Linked DNA regions of Daphnia pulex. Each later gene encodes a partner of the first gene's protein in a complex. Links are inferred from orthologs where the notes say so. Each region holds a gene or a part of one and is shown on either strand. Other genes may lie near its edges.

The links. The genes of interacting proteins can lie anywhere in the genome.
Region 2: the proteins of protein transport protein Sec31A-like (region 1) and programmed cell death protein 6-like are in contact, whole or in part, in a crystal structure (PDB 3WXA), measured with the Homo sapiens proteins. The link is inferred for Daphnia pulex from reciprocal best matches to the Homo sapiens genes SEC31A and PDCD6. Residues at the interface, in NP_001070675.1 of Homo sapiens: Asn837, Pro838, Pro839, Pro840, Pro841, Gly842, Phe843, Ile844, Met845; in NP_037364.1 of Homo sapiens: Val31, Val35, Leu48, Ala51, Leu52, Ser53, Asn54, Gly55, Thr56, Trp57, Phe85, Trp89, Ile92, Gln96, Phe99, Phe148.

What each region holds. Positions count from the first base shown.
Region 1 is NC_060028.1:9,227,871-9,236,431, forward strand, and holds the start of protein transport protein Sec31A-like, read right to left. Parts: upstream 4,488-8,561; 5' UTR 4,338-4,487; intron 4,035-4,337; 5' UTR 4,026-4,034; coding exon 3,823-4,025; intron 3,762-3,822; coding exon 3,338-3,761; intron 3,274-3,337; coding exon 3,079-3,273; intron 3,022-3,078; coding exon 1,666-3,021; intron 1,593-1,665; coding exon 246-1,592; intron 178-245; coding exon 106-177; intron 44-105; coding exon 1-43. UniProt on the Homo sapiens protein: Component of the coat protein complex II (COPII) which promotes the formation of transport vesicles from the endoplasmic reticulum (ER).
Region 2 is NC_060019.1:5,645,521-5,652,895, reverse strand, and holds programmed cell death protein 6-like, read right to left. Parts: upstream 4,449-7,375; 5' UTR 4,173-4,448; coding exon 4,093-4,172; intron 4,021-4,092; coding exon 3,914-4,020; intron 3,824-3,913; coding exon 3,671-3,823; intron 3,605-3,670; coding exon 3,489-3,604; intron 3,411-3,488; coding exon 3,309-3,410; 3' UTR 3,145-3,308; downstream 1-3,144. Other genes in the region: PHAF1 protein CG7083-like, read left to right, coding at 107-189, 254-381, 450-826, 891-1,006, 1,068-1,163, 1,231-1,313, 1,394-1,487, 1,554-1,700 and 2 more. UniProt on the Homo sapiens protein: Calcium sensor that plays a key role in processes such as endoplasmic reticulum (ER)-Golgi vesicular transport, endosomal biogenesis or membrane repair.

The sequences.
Region 1 (8,561 bases):
CTTGCACAATCTGATGTAACCCCAAAAGGGTGGGGCTCAGCAACTACAATAAATTTTACGAACATTAGCTTTACCAAAAAATATTGAATATAGTTGATGAATTACCATATTTTTCCGTAACAGATCATCCAGGCACTCTAGCTTCTTTCCTACATCGTCTAGCTTTCTCTTCAATTGCTAAAAAGAAAAAAAAAATTATAAAATAATGATCTCGTCATGATAATATAATTCTAGTAGTTTCTCACCGCATTGGAGGCTAGTGCGGCACATTTATCTTTCAACGTGTGGAATACATCGTGAATGATTAAGTGTTCGTTTGGAATCGGAAGCAAGGCTTGGGCTGGCTGGATTGGCTCAGGCGCCTGCTGGTGGTGTTGGTTTTGAATCATATCAACTGGAGCATTCATTGCTCCTTGATTGAATGACCCTTCGAAAGGCTGAATAATGGGAATGGCTGGCTGTTCCACAACACCCATGGGGTGATTGATAGTTTCAATGACAGCTGGCTCAGCTTTCACTTTAGCGAACGACGTTAGAGGAGGTGGATCGTTCCAACCAGGAGGCGCGCTCGCGGTGGGAAGAAATGGTACGGAGGGCACGAGATTGGTAGCCAACGGAGGAGTTATAGATGGTGGAGCATCAAATGATGTTGGTTGCATAAATGCGCTTTGTTGCTGCGGCGCTTGAGCGTGTTCCATTGGATTGTAAAGAGATGGAGGCTGTTGGACATTATCCATTACTCCGCCGTTAGACATCTGCCCGCTTTGCATATTGAACGACCCAGGGGAGGGCGGTAAAGGCTGGTTAAACTGATTTCCAGGAAAACCGCCCTGTTGCGCGTAAGATGACGGAGTGTTGAACTGACCAGTAGGTTGGAACATCGCCGAATTCGATTGTGGTGGCTGGGACATGTAACCCATCTGATTGACTTGCTGGAATTGTGAATTCGACGCAGCGTTGAAATATCCACCAGATCGACCACTGGAAACGCTAGGATCCTGGACGTAAACTCTGTTACGTTGATTCAGTGATCCCAAGCGCGAAACATTCCCTGTTATCGGGGGAGGGGCCACCGTAGCTGCTGCAGGCGGTGGTGGAGCAGGCTGATGATACTGCTGCGAAGGCTGGACGCTTGGAGGTTGATGAAATTGCTGCGAAGGCTGGATGCTCGGGGACTGATGAAATTGTTGCAAAGGCTGGGCACTCGGAGCTTGGTAAAATTGTTGTACAGGCTGGCCACTTGGAGGTGGTGCAGGTGTATTGGCCGTTGGAGGCATCGAAGTCGCTGCTTGAGGAGAGTTGTAAGTATTAGTGGACGTTGCCCAATTATTGCCCTGGAATGGAGTTGTAGGTTTCGGGGGATAGGCTGGCACAGCTGGAGCTGAATTAAATTGATCCTGATGACCGTAATAGCTGTTTGTTGGTGTAGAAGACCTATTAATTCCAACCGATGGGTATCGCTGCAGCGGCCCAGCCTTTTGCTGTTGCGATGCCATGCTGTAAGCACCGTTCATCATTCCGGTAGAAACCTTACGGTCGACCGGATTCAATGCGCGTTGAAGTCTGTCCTTTAATTCTACCATCGAATCGTCCTACATGAAACAAGACAAAACAAAAACATTAACGTCTAGATCGTGAATGCGTTCAAGAGAATTTTATTTTTACCTGCGACATATCGAGATAAGTCAGTGCTGCTTCCAGACTGCCTTGGCCAGCCAAGAGTCCGGCGTAACGACAAAGTTGTTGGGTAAGGTGACCTGAATTAATAGCCACAGGTTGACGACCCCAGTGTCGCTGAGCTTGGCGAAGGACCATGATTTGTTCTACCATCTCTTGTAGGGATGCCGTTGAATCATCCTCGACTCGCAGCCAACAGTCGACTACTTTCTCCATGTTTCCAGCGCAAATGTAGCAAAGAACTGCTTCGTTTGTGGCTCCTGTTTCGGCCTCGAGCCTCTGACCAATTGTCTGACAAAGGTTGGCAAATTCGTTATCTTCTGCGTAGGTCAGCGTTGCAGCCAATGCTTCCTTCCAGTTGCTCATATCGCAATGTTGAACGATCTTTTCCCAGTCCCGAGTGACAACAGCTTGGATCAGACGCGGAACGTCACCCTGTGTCAAACGGAAATAGCGGTTTCTAGTGGCGGTCAGCAGCTCCGGTGGCCCAGTCATGGCCAGCACAATGGCATCTGCATAACGTTTATCGTTGAAACAAAGATCTACTGCCACAGCTAGGTTGCCAGTGATCAAAGCTTTGCTGATCTTGCCGTCAACAGATTCGTCGGTAGGGATTTTGAAAGTTTTGACTTCCGCAGCGATAGAATCGAATGTGTCAGGCATTCCCAAACCTTCCAATGCGTCGACTACACCATCTTCAGAAGTAGTTGGCTGGGGTTCGTAGTTCAACAGTTGCAGCAACTGCTGTCGGGGAGCTGGGCTAAAGTTTGCCGCCAGGAAGTTCCATGCCTCCTTGTGTTCGCCATCGGATTCCATTTTCTTGACGCAAAATTCAGCCAAATTTCCAGTATTTAGAGCTGTTTCTAGCTCATGGGAACGTAGTGTTAACTCATTTTCGGTTATGACTTGACTAATGTGCACTTGTGGCGTGGTGCTGGGAGTCTCCAAGCCAAATGTGACCAGCTTTCCGCCAAATGCAAATGATGCTCCACAGATTGGACGAATCCATTTGGGTGCCTTCTTTAGTTGTTCATGGACAATAATTTGCTGTTGGGGTGGTTGCAATGCTGGGGCAGAATCCATCCCAGGAAAAGAATCGGCAATCATGTTGACAGTGGGTTGCACAGCCACTTCTCGTCCTCCCATGATGGAATGAACTCGTACGTGGCCGTCAAAACTAGCGGTGGCAATGCAAGACGGATTTCTGGGACACCACGCCGTATCGAAGCACCATTGGCTGCTAGTGCTCAGCTCACAGAGAATTTCACCACGAGGAGCTAGGCTGTTAGGATTCCAGATTAACACTCGGTTATCCTTGCCACAACTCAATAGAAGGTCAGGATCCTAAAAATGTAAATATGGTTATGAAAAGTTTATTTCAATATGGATGTTTAAATAAACCTGAGGACACCAATCCATTGCTAGGATGCCTCTCTGATGACCTTCAAACGTGTTGATAGGAGCCGAAGCTTGCCTAAGGTCCCAGAATTGAATGACGGGCAACTGATCTTCTTCGGAAGCTAGACACAACTGGGTAGCAACTTTAGGATGCCAAGCAACTGCCTTGCAGCGCATTCTTGACGTACTGTCACTGACCTGTTAGCCATAAAAGATTAGAGTTAACAAAATAAGATCGAATTAAAGTAAATTACTAACACACCTTGATGATGGGCTCGTTCTTTCTTAAATCCCATACGACGCAACGCGTTGCGAAGGTTGATGCCAAGATATGTTGCACTTGTCTATTCCAGGAAAGGCATGTAACATCGTCTGGTGGTTGAGAAAGCGTTCCAGGTGTCATCGGCGCAGCAGGACTATTCAAATCCCAGATATAAATTTCCGACTGAGCTGCTCCCGATGCCAATAAATTTTGTTGGAAGGGATTGAAGTCAAGCGCCTTGACAGCCCCACTATGTTTTTTACTATCTGCCAATAAGTATCCACCAGTTTCATCATTTTTTCCCAACAGCAATTTATCTGCATCAAATAGAAGAATGTGTCCTTGATCTGCACCACCAACTATGACTCCACCAGGATTTTCCCCACTAGTGATTCCCTGTGAGCCCCACACCAACTTGTGAAACCTGTAGATGAAAATCTTGTAGTATCTGAATCTTTTGTAATGTTATTGAAACTGAAATATACCTTTGTTTAGTGGATATTGAAGCTTTCAATCCCATACCAAGACCAGGTTCATTTAAATCCAATGAATATAGATCAATTTGTGATGTGGTGCTAAACGATGCATCAAGCTGCTGAGCAGCTGTCCCCGTAGCCAAATATATTGGATACTGTGAGGCAGGGGACCATGCAATATTTGCAGTTTGTTCAACTTCTTTAATTTTCATTTTCTAAGCCTAAAACGGAAAAATCAATTAATCTCAGTTCAAACAGCATGCCTTGTTTTGGTAGGAATCATCTCATTCTATAATCATCATTTTGTAAGGCACAGACAAGAGGTAACATAACGAGATATTTTTACATTTAACATTCATTTATCTATTTTTGGGAGAAATATTCTGATAGTAATGTTTGAATTCTTAACTGGCAACTATTGATACAAAGACTGGCATACACCCACTGTAACCAGGAAGTTGTTTCAGTCTCATCACAAATCAATAAAAAGTATAGAACGTTGTTTGATATTAGCTTTAACTCACCTCTTAAGAATCTCCGATAGATGACAAATTTCAATATCAAACTAATTTTCTAATGGTTTTCTTAATATTGCCGGTTGAGAGAAGAAAATTTGTCCACAATGTTGTCACTTAGCTGACGTGGCCGGAGTGAAGAACGCTAGTGATACCTAGCGGCAGAATCAAGAACTGCTTTAGTGCAGAATCAGTTTTTCAGATGTCACTTTTTCCAAGGCGCCAACTGCAGAAATTTTAAAAAGCAAAATAGACATCCCATTGCGAAATAGCTTTAATGTAGTATGGAAGAGCATGAACTGTAATTGTGAACCAATATATAGAAAAGGTCTATGGTACGAAGTCATGGGATGACATTGTCGAATTTTTTCACTTCACTTTACCTCGCCAAGTAATAAATCTTTGAGACCAAGTTGTCGAACTCTCAAACTATTTCCAATAAAAAAATATCTCTTTGCGGAAATAAAATAAAAACCCTTGGTTTCAAAAAGCCCAATGTGAACTTTTTGTCATTTCGGTTGTGTTGGCAACTATTTTCATTTGTTTTTAATGGAAAGTAAAAAATCTTAAAGAAATATACTGAAAGAAAGAAGGAATTCCTTTAAAGTATGTCTGGCTTTTCTTTTTCTGGCCTGGCGAAATCCAAAAGTCACGTCACAACTTCCATAGCTAAAATAGAACGTTTCGAGTTGAACGAACTCGTAAAAAATAAACAAACTCGAACAGAAGTGGAAACACTCAAGGTAAAAGACTAAAAGGTAGATGTTTTGATCCCGGAAAAATGCAATGTCATTGAAAAATAAAAAAAACTGTAATAACTAATAACCGCAATGATCGAGTAACAAAACTGTAAAAGAACTAGAAACTTCGCAGTTTGAATAGTTCACTATGTATTATAAAGAAACAGTGATTACAAAGTAACGGCACTAAATAAAGGGGAACTTTTTAGGTAAAGTGAAAAGTGAGTCTGGTAAAAGTCACCGTGACCGATGCAAAACTTCACGATGACACGATTGCACGATGAAATCATGAAAAAAAGAAGAACGAAAGCAGCATGAATAAAACAAATTCGATGAAAAAGAAAGTTTTTTCTAGGCTTGGAGTTTAAGGTCTGGGTTAGAATGATAACGCGGGGAAGATAACATACCAAAAGAAAGTGAGCGAAAAAAAAATAATCTACAAAAGTAGCCTACAAGAGGAGTTCACTTTCTATACGGACCTACACCTTTAGGGCGATTTCCAATATTCACTTGGAAGCAGCACGATCAAATTTATAGTACCTTTGGGCTCAATTGACTTAAACCAACCGGTCAGAGTCGGTAATCGAAAGCTTGTATTTGAAACACCGATAAACCTAGATCTGATATCTTGTAGCTCCTCAGTAACTCAAAAAAACAATGCCTTCAGCTTGTAGTGGAAAAAATGCGTTAAAGACCAGAAAAATCATTTGTTTATAAGAAAGAAAAGGAACTATTCTTTGTATTACACAAAAGTTACGCCACACAACAAACGCGGAGGAAAAAATGGAAATGAAAGAAAAAGAAAAAGGGGGTTGTTAGATTCCTATGTACTATATGTATATACTTGATACCGGTAATCGCTATGATCAACACGATGGAAAAGACGGCGTGATTTGTTTAGGCGTAAGGCGGACTTGAACACCGTCTCGTGGCCGGAGAACAAGTTCCCCTATGAGGACGAGGTCTTCACGCTTCTCCAACGACTCGAGATGAAAGTTTCTTAGAACTGTGGCCAAAACAACTTTTTCCTCCATCACGGCATACTTCTGGCCTAGAAGATGAAACGCACAACGATAGCTAATTATAAATTGAAAAGTAACGGTACATAGTGTACGCCATCAAAGGAAAGAAGAGGCTGCAAACATTTAGTGCCGTAATACTTTTACAAGACAAAAGGGCGATGACCAGGCAAAACTTGGCGGACAATTCAGGAACTATACGGAACTATACTTTGCTATGAAATAATAAACGAATGAATGAATTACCGATACAATTGCGTGGTCCAGCGCTAAATGGCACATAGGCATAAGGATGTCTGCTACGTTTGTTATCGCCCATGAATCGCTCCGGGTCGAAACGTTCCGGGTCTGGAAACTGTACCGGATCTCTGTGAAGCGAGTAGGGAATAACGGCGACGGTAGACCCAGCCGGAATCACGTAGCCATCTGGGAAAGTGTGTCAGATAGTAAAGAGGTGCAATTTTATTCAACATTACACAGGAAATATGCTGGTGATGGATATGAATAATGCACAGCAATCAAAGAGAAAAGCGGAAAGATGAATCGCTTTACAAGAGAAACAAACATACGGATGGTGGCATCCTCGCTCAATGTTCGCCCATACATGGCTACGCTAGGAAAGAGCCTCAAAGCCTCTTTGATGCAACATTCCAAGTATTTCAGCTGGAGAATATCCGTCATAGTTATGGGTCGGTCGGAGGTACCAAAAATGCGATTCAGTTCCTCACTGACGCGCTCCTGTACCTCCGGATGGCTTCCAATCAAATACAAGCACCAACTGACCGCTGCTGCGGTAGTGTCTTGCCCCTGTGTTGGCCAACATTAGTTACATCATTCAACATTCCATTTCGGGAAATTAAAACACACCTCAAACATAAAGGTATCGACTTCTTCGCGGATGTCCAAATCACTCAGAAGCGTACCGTCCTGCGAAGCTTCAATCAACAGATCCAGGAAGGCCAGTCGGGGTTTTTCTGCATTGGTAAAAAACCAGTCGTGAAATGACCGAAGAAACATGGTGCCTTTTGATGATATCAGTATTATTTACTTATCAAATCGACATTGTCATCAACGTCTGCGGAAGTAGGAGATGTCTTGTTTTCTTTTTGTGCAAGTTCTTGAGCCTTGCGAATGCGATGCTCAGCTTTTCGCTCTTGCAGAACCTGTAATTCAAATATAAGAATCAAATTCACGACTTTGTTGGAAAGTTAAAACAACTAGAACGGACTGTATGCACCTCTTTATGACGAGACTCAAAAACTTGGCAATGACTAGTCATTATCTATGCGCAATGTAAATTTTACGGTTCTACCATATGAGCTGAAATTTCACCACATAAAACAGGTTTCGTATTTATGTAAAAATATTCTGTGCAAAGAGTAGAGAGAACCGGATTTAACGAGTCCACTATATAAAGACCGGCAAAAAAGCTATCAAGATAATAGGGGAATTAAATTTCAAATTGGTACCAACCTTATCTGTGAAACCGTGTAGAATATCAAGGCATTTCTGTTGGGTTTTCGCCATCGGGTGACACTGAAACAGCAATTCGGGTTGAAGCCAAGGCTGTGCTTGTCTTGTTTGAACAACCCGCCCAAGTCTGTCGCCGCCGCCACCCAAACCACAAAGCAAAATATAAATGACGTCAATAATAATTAATGACGAAAGCGAAAGCTACCGTTCACATTTTCAAAATGAAATAATCATCACTCACGTGCAAACGGCTTTGACGTACTCGGAGTCGTTGTTCAGCTGAGCGTCGACGTGACGACCCATGGCAGTTTCTGTTCATCAAGTCAATCAGATTCCACGCCAAATGATTTTACTGCAATCAAACCGGTCGGGAGAACAAGAAAGAGAAAAACTCACCGCAAATGATGTCGAGCGTACAACGGGCCACGTACGGGAAGAGATTGATCCTGTCACGGTTATTGGCCACCATGTCCTGGTGGGCCTCTTTCAATTTCTCGACCAGCACAACGCTCTGCTTGTTGAAGATGTCGATAAAATCTTCCAAGATCTTGAAGTGGAATGTCGGAGTTAACATTTTTCGCCGCCCATGCCATTTGCTCCCGGTGCTGGTGAGCAAGCCGGTGCTGAGCCAAGGATGGAGGTACTGATATTCGCGAGATTTGTCGATCAGTTTGTTGCTGCCAAGTAACGCCTTGAAAAATTCAATGGGAATAAATGGAAAGATAAATCGTAAAAATATTCAGGTCAGAACGTAGAGAGAAAACGCTGGGTAAAAATGTGAATCGACCATTTGTATATTATCCATCTCCAACTTGCAATCATCAGAGTCTTTTTTTTTACTTGATTGCAGCTTTTTCCAACGTTTCGCGTTTCCGGGCTGGTGGAGATTGAAAATAGCGAGGAGACTGACTGAACACCAATTTGATAGAGAAACGGAAAATCACCCGACCGTCACCAACAGCCCCTTTTTGCTTCCTTTCCTTGTTCGAACACTCCGCTAA
Region 2 (7,375 bases), on another chromosome or scaffold:
GGTTCTTGAATTGCAAAATATTCGTTATGCCATTGAGTGTACACAAGCATACGGAATCGCACAGTATACTTATATTGGTTTGTGTACTTTTCAATCTTCATTATAGGAATGCAGTTTTCTCAAGCAGTTTGCATCTGCATGTCTCAGGTAGCAGTTATGAAGAGAGTCCAAGTAATATATAATGAGAATGTAAGTAAAATCTTTTAGCATACACACACAAACTTCGTGAACATACATGTTATTTGCTGTATAGGACCCTTTGGCTTCTGACCTTATTTTAAGTCTTACTTTGGATGGAATTCGCCTTTTATTTGATTCAGTTTCACAGCGCCTAAAAGTGATTGAGATTTTTGCCATGAATCTCATCAAACTGAAATACTGGTAATAGTAAAAATATTTTAAAATTTAGACAAGATTAGGAGAAATAATCATGCCCTATTTTGATATAGTGGCCTGGTTTTCAATTCAACTGATGTTATCCCAACCATAGATCAAATAGATCATTCTTTTGGAGCTACACACCCTGGAATATATGATCCTGAGAAAAGAATCTTTACTCTAAATTTCCGTGGCCTATCTTTTACCTTTCCAGTTGAACAGGCTAGCGAACCGAGATACGTTCGAGGACTTGGATCGCTTCAATTCACCAACGGCGCGTCTCCTATAGCAACAAAGATGTTCATTTTCAGTGGAAACAGCTTGGTTGACAGCAAACCACCTTCGCTACCGATATCCTGCTTTTTTTCTCATCCTTATCTGCAATGGCTCGAAGTTATTCGTCATAATGGATGTACATCTGGTATCAAGCTCTCCATTATTTGTGAAGGTTCGGCTCAAACATTGATAAATTTAGAAACTAACTTTCAAATCAATGTAATTTTGCGTTTTAGGTCCATCTCAAGTATTGGAACCTAGACGACATGCCTGTGTCCAGGAATTATTTTTTGGAGCTTCTGCCGAAGATGTGCTTACGCTGTTGGGAGCTCCATCTCGCGTGTTTTATAAAGTAAAATGTGCAAATATATGTACATGCACTTTATAAATTTAATTCTTATCGTCGATGGTAGGACGAAGACAAAATGAGGATTCACAGTCCACAGGCGCATCGTCGAGCTCCAGCTTCTTTTTCGGATTATTTTTACAACTACTTCACTCTTGGATTAGTATACTTAAAATTATTCTAGATTTCATTTTTAAAAGTTTCATTACAAATTTCCCGTTTTAAAAAAGGATGCTTTATTCGATGGGAAATATCACAAGTTGAAGAAGTTCGTACTGCATACGAATTATCCAGGACATTACAATTTCAATATGTAAGTGAAACATTTTGCAGTGAATGCGTGGGAGCTGGTCAATGCTTAATTATTTTTTTTTAAAATTCTCTCTCAATTAGGTATCACCGATGTGAGTTTAAGCTCCAGTTGCCGACCAAGGCCACTTCCGTCGATAATTCGAGATTGGTCGATTTATCGCCGACATTTATCACTGTTGGTTTTCAATTCACATATATGTTCTTGCGTGAAACCAATGTCATAAATTATTTACGAATGTAGGTATCTGCTTATTCACGTTGGGATGAAGTTTGCGAGAAAGTGCAGCCTAGTTCACGTCCGATTGTTTTACATCGATCGTCATCGACGAATACAACAAACCCCTTCGGTTCTACGTTCTGCTACGGGGTTGAGGATATTATTTTCGAGGTGAATAACGATTTTTAGATTCCTAAAATACTGAAAGCTTTTAATGAATTTCTCTTTTTGAATGTAAGGTGATGCCAAATAACCTTATAGCATCTGTAACGCTTTACGCATCCGATGATATCTCGCATGAATTACAATCGTAAAAGGATATTAGTCCTATAATTGGAAAATTTTATTACCAATATAATATAAACAGGATTTTTGTATTTGCCCAGGAAACAGACTGACGCCATGAATTGATCTTAAGTGCGCATCTCTTTCGTGATTGTATGTTGTTTGAACGCAAAATAATGTAATAAAACACACTAAACATTAAGCACCAATTACTTTTCCAATGTTAATGTCTTATTCAAACATTCATATAGCTAGTTTGGAGTTTGGACTAGCCTATAAGACAATCAGTTATTGTGATGGCTGTGCGTTATGAGTTCAGGAGTAAAAAAAAAGAAGTTTGAATTGATTGTTCTGATAAAAGAGTAAATTGTAACAGTGTATATTGAAATATGTGTAGCACCCTTGTAAAATTTCGAAACATAGGGTAAAAGGTCTTTGCATGCCTCCATTTTTCACGATAACTCAGAAGTCAGAACGTTTGATTTATCGCATCATCAATCTAAAAAAATAAAATAAAATAAAATAACTTATATCATGAAACTAAATGCGTCTGGTTATTCTAGAATACCACGATGATGAATAAAGAATTAACGGTACAGAAAATAAAGGTCCAAGATAGGCTACATGTATAAACGAAATAACGTGCGCTCAATAAAAATGAAGTTGTTGAATAACAATACGACTGCTAAATATTTACTATTAACACAAATGCTATAATTAATAAACTGTTCTGTAATGTTGCCAACTATCCTATACATTCATCGCGGAAATATTTTCTACAATTTGGTGACGTAGGCTAATAAGTATGGGTTATGTCGATTTGAGGACAAACCTGACTACAATGACAATAAATTACTCGTACCCTCGTAAACTTCCCGTTTACGCCCAAAAAAGAATCTGAACATATAAAGTTGCAGAAGTGAATGATAAGCTAAATAATCACTCACTTTTACTAACATCAATTTTTGTTCATGGTTAAATTCTATTTCCGTATTCTATTTTCTGGATTGTCAGGGAAAAAATATTGGAAACATGTTAAAAAAGTCGAATAGAATAGGGCAGGCACACTTTACCTCTACGACAATGCGCTGGCATAACAGACCTTCTAAAATGACTCATTTTATCTTGATTATATCGCTTTATCTTTACACGACAGATACGAAATAGATGCCCTATTGCTGTAGTTTGTTTACAGTGCGTTGTGTGCTATTACGAAAAGTTCCGTTGCTGTGTACGATTGATGCTGATCCTTGAGCAACAATATTATCAAGCAATCAGATCGCACACAAGGTGTTATACTGATTCACACAGTAGTTATATCACAGTAAAATAACATTTCATATGCAAGTTTATTCAAAAGGGAGAAGAGTTCAATCAACTGCCAGGAAAAATCAAGATATTGGCTGTTACAGAATCTCTATATGAGCAAAGAAACATACACAAACAGCAATAAGGAAGTGGTAAATTTAGTAGCTTAGGTATATTAGCTGAAACTTATACGCGGGTGTTGAGGACCATTTGAAGAAAATGTTCATATCCGATAGTAATGACACCGTCTTGATCGGTATCGAATTGACGAAACGCTGAAGTCAAGTTCTGTCATTGAAAACAATATAGATATATGAAAAAATGATACTTTCATTTAAATCATAGATATGTAAAAATCTTTCTTACATGTAAAACGATGCAACACTGAATGAAATCATCAAAATATATCGTTCCTTTTCCCATACGATCGAATTTTCGAAGCAACATATGATGAGTTCCGTCTTGCAAACGATAGCCGAAACCTATATTAACACAAAAGAACACTTAGTATATTTAAAAATTGTCAGCCAACTTTAATGACAAACTACTTGTAAGTGCTGTTCTTAGTTCATTGCCATCAATGTTCCCCGAATTATCTCTGTCAAAACTTCTAAAGCAAGTTTGCCAATCAGTGACATACTTCCAGATTGCTCCAAAATCTTCAAAGGAAATAGTTCCTCTTTGTTGACGATCAAACATACCTGTAGTAGTGCACAATTCAAAACGGAACATTAGTACAAAGGGATACAAAATTATCATTAATGCCTCTCATACAGCTGTCAAACACATACCAATCATAAGTCTAACAGTTTCCGAGTTAAATGGAGCCCATGTTCCATTGGATAGAGCTGATTGCAGCTCTTCGGCAGTTATTGCTCCACTTCTATCTTTGTCAACTCTAAAAATTTCAATAAATATATTTTAGTTGTAATTTTCTCCCTGAATTTAACCCACAACAAAATTGTTTAACCTTTGAAACACCTGCCAAAGAAAATCACGATTTGGAGCAGCTGGAACCGCACCCGGCCCTTGATAGTGCTGATAAGCCATTGTGTAGACTAAACGCGACTAAACGTTTATAAATAGAATTCACTCAAGTACAATACGTTTTTTAAACTGCCCGATACCAAAGGGTGTTATTAATAAGTAAAGGGATTTTTTTGTAGTGGCCAACAGTCAACTTAATTCACTGAGTTGCACTGAATCAACTTGATGTCTCAATCATTGATGACTCAACACTCAACAGTCAATCCAAGTCCAAAGTCGAAACCCATGAGCCATGACTGCTGTAAAATAAAGACAGGAGTCTTGGACGATAATCGACGATCCGTATGTTTAGGGCTGTGGCCCGGGACGTTTTTAGCGGGTTTTTTTTCAATGGGTTTTTTAGATGGGTTTTTCTTCTTCCGCGGGTCGGAGCGGGTTGGGCCAACTGAGTGAACGGGTTTGGCCCGGGCCAACCCATGGGTCAAAAAATTTTTACCGGTCGGGTAACGGCCCGGGTAAAAAATCGGGTCAAACACACTTTTTTTTTTACAAACTTAAAAAAATTCCCTAAATTTCTTAATTATCTTCTTCTTCTAACAGTGACACGTCAATTCTGTCTTCTGAACACCCCTGAACGCCCTTTTCTACCACTTATCCTACTTTTCATGCTACGAAATTATCGTAGAGCATTTGGCGGCAATATTTTGAGGCCGCAGGCATAGAGAATAACGAGCTTCTCTATGTGACTACTAGATGGCGCCACCGCTCGGGTTGGCCCGCGGTACCGGGAGTTCAACCCGTCGCCCGCCCCGTTAAAAAAAATGCCTCGATGGGTCGAGTCGGGTTGGGTTTTTTTTCGTTCAGCCCGGGCGGTGGCCCGGGTTTTCATCGCCCGGGCCACAGCCCTATATGTTGGCTCTATAATTTTTTTGTGGGTAAATCAGATTTTACAAAAAAAAAAAAATAGTTATTGGCTTGCTAAATGTTTCTATTACTGATAATTAATATAACGAGAAATTTAAGTATTTGTTCAGAAGAATTTGAAAAAGGGAGAAACGCCGGTGCCATCTAGGTGCCAAACATACTGAAAACCAGTTTACGCGATCGATTAGTTTATCACGATTGATCGCTTATTTTTTTCTGATCAAGAGGAAGCGGTTGACCTAAAGACCACTAATTATAAAGACCCGTGGTCTTTATCTATGACATCACACCAATTTTTCAATTTATAGAGCGTGATCGAGATCGAATCGATAATCAAATGCTAAAAAAAAAGTACGCTAAAAAATCGAGTACGCTACAGTTCGAGTCCATCCGCTATCAATCGAGTACACCACAAGTCCACAAGTTATAAACAATTTTGTTATAAATAATGGTAATAGTTTCATCAACAATAGGGTAGAAGGCCTAGAAGCATGAAAAATAATTAATTTTTGTTTTGAATCCTCCTTATAGATGTTATTCCAACCAAAAAGTAGTAGACATGCCAAAAAGTCGTGCGCAGTTTACGCCGGTGCACACCACTGCGGGTCTGCGGCCGATAGCAGAACGACAATTTTTATTACGCTTGACAGATGACGTAGGTACAATCCTTTGTTCGAGAAGCAGACAGTTCTGGAACAAAGGATTGTACCTACGTTAAGTGTCAAGCGTAATAAAAATTTCATTCTGCTATCGGCCGCAGTGGTGCGCATCGGCGTAAACTGCGCACGACTTTTACTCAGAGATAAGGAGATGGGCCACTCTGTGTAAAGTCCAGTAGTCGACTTTTTCCCCCCTCCTCCTCCTTTTCGACTGCCCTGCTCCTTTCGGCGAGCTCCGGAAGCATTTCCCAGTAGTTCTCCCCCTTCAGGACCGCCCCTACCACCAAGTAAGGTAAAGCTTCCGGAGCTCGCCGAAAGGAGCAGGGCAGTCGAAAAGAAGGAGGAGGGGAAGTCGACTGCTGGACTTTACACAGAGTGGCCCATCTCCTTATCTCTGCTTTTACTCGACTACTACTTTTAAGTTGGAATAACATCTATACAACTTTTTTTTTACTCTCCTTTGCGCCCCTTGCGGAAACCAGCTTAGTTCCACTAAATATGAAGGCCGATATGACTTCTATGGGTCTAAAATGAAGGCCAACAGATAAAACCTTCTGCTTGCTTCCGGAAGGAGCGCGGCAGTGAGAACAAAATATGGGTGCCAGGCAGAGAGGGAAAAGGGAAAAATGAGCCTCTCAGGAAATTAGTCATATCTCAACCAATAAAATCCGGAAAGAAAATTCCTTTTGGATTTTAATGGTTGAGATAGCAATAAACCTTTCTATAAAATAAGTTTCTGCTATAGCCCCTATACCTTTCAGAAAAGCGATGTCAAAGTACCCCCCATTTCTGATAAATAAAAAAAAACTCAAACTTTAACGCTTAATATCTCGTAAACGGGTGGGAATTTCGTCTTTCTGCAAACGCAAGTAAATCCGGCGTGTAGAGACAAAAATGACAACATATATTTTTTATATTTCAAATTCCTTTTCCGGATATAAATCTGGAAAGCTGCTCCGGGATTTCGGTCTACCTGAGTCATGGATCGCTTGTTAAACATGAAAATCATTTTGTCAAAATGTTAAGGGTTTTTGGTTTCTAGAAGAGTTATGACCCATGTGAGGATCGATCCATTGATATACGCCATTCCAGGCCATTTCTCTACCACCAAGATACGGATAATTTTTTTTATAACGCAATATGAGTCCCGTTCCTTCGGGGGTTTATTTACATCATTTATTACTACAACTAATTTTAAAATTCTGAAATTGGCATCAATGTCCAAAGTGCAGACGACGGGAAGTGTTGGATTGTTGTTGCGTAGTGCTAACAACGTGCGTCACCAAACAGTGAAATAATATCAGACAACTTTAATGGCGTCGTCTCAGAGAAATGGGAAATTTCGTGAGTTTCGCGGGTTGACAACTACTTCGAAACTTTTCTCGGAAATTCGATTTAAATGTTTTCCAAAAAATCCCTCATTCCCTCCTACATAATATATTACCTCCGGTTCGTCACCAGTAACAGAAAAATTATTTTCCTTTTGCCCAATTAATGAGTGAGTGTTAATGATTTGACCCGCGGAAAAAATTACGTGGAATTAAACTATTGTTAAAATATTATGGAAAAACCAATTGTGGTGGAAATTTTAATTATTATTTTTAGCATTAAGAGCAATTTAACTACAATGAAGTTCGTTTACTGCTTCTCTGCCTTTTTAACAAGCTTCTAAAGGTGCGTTTA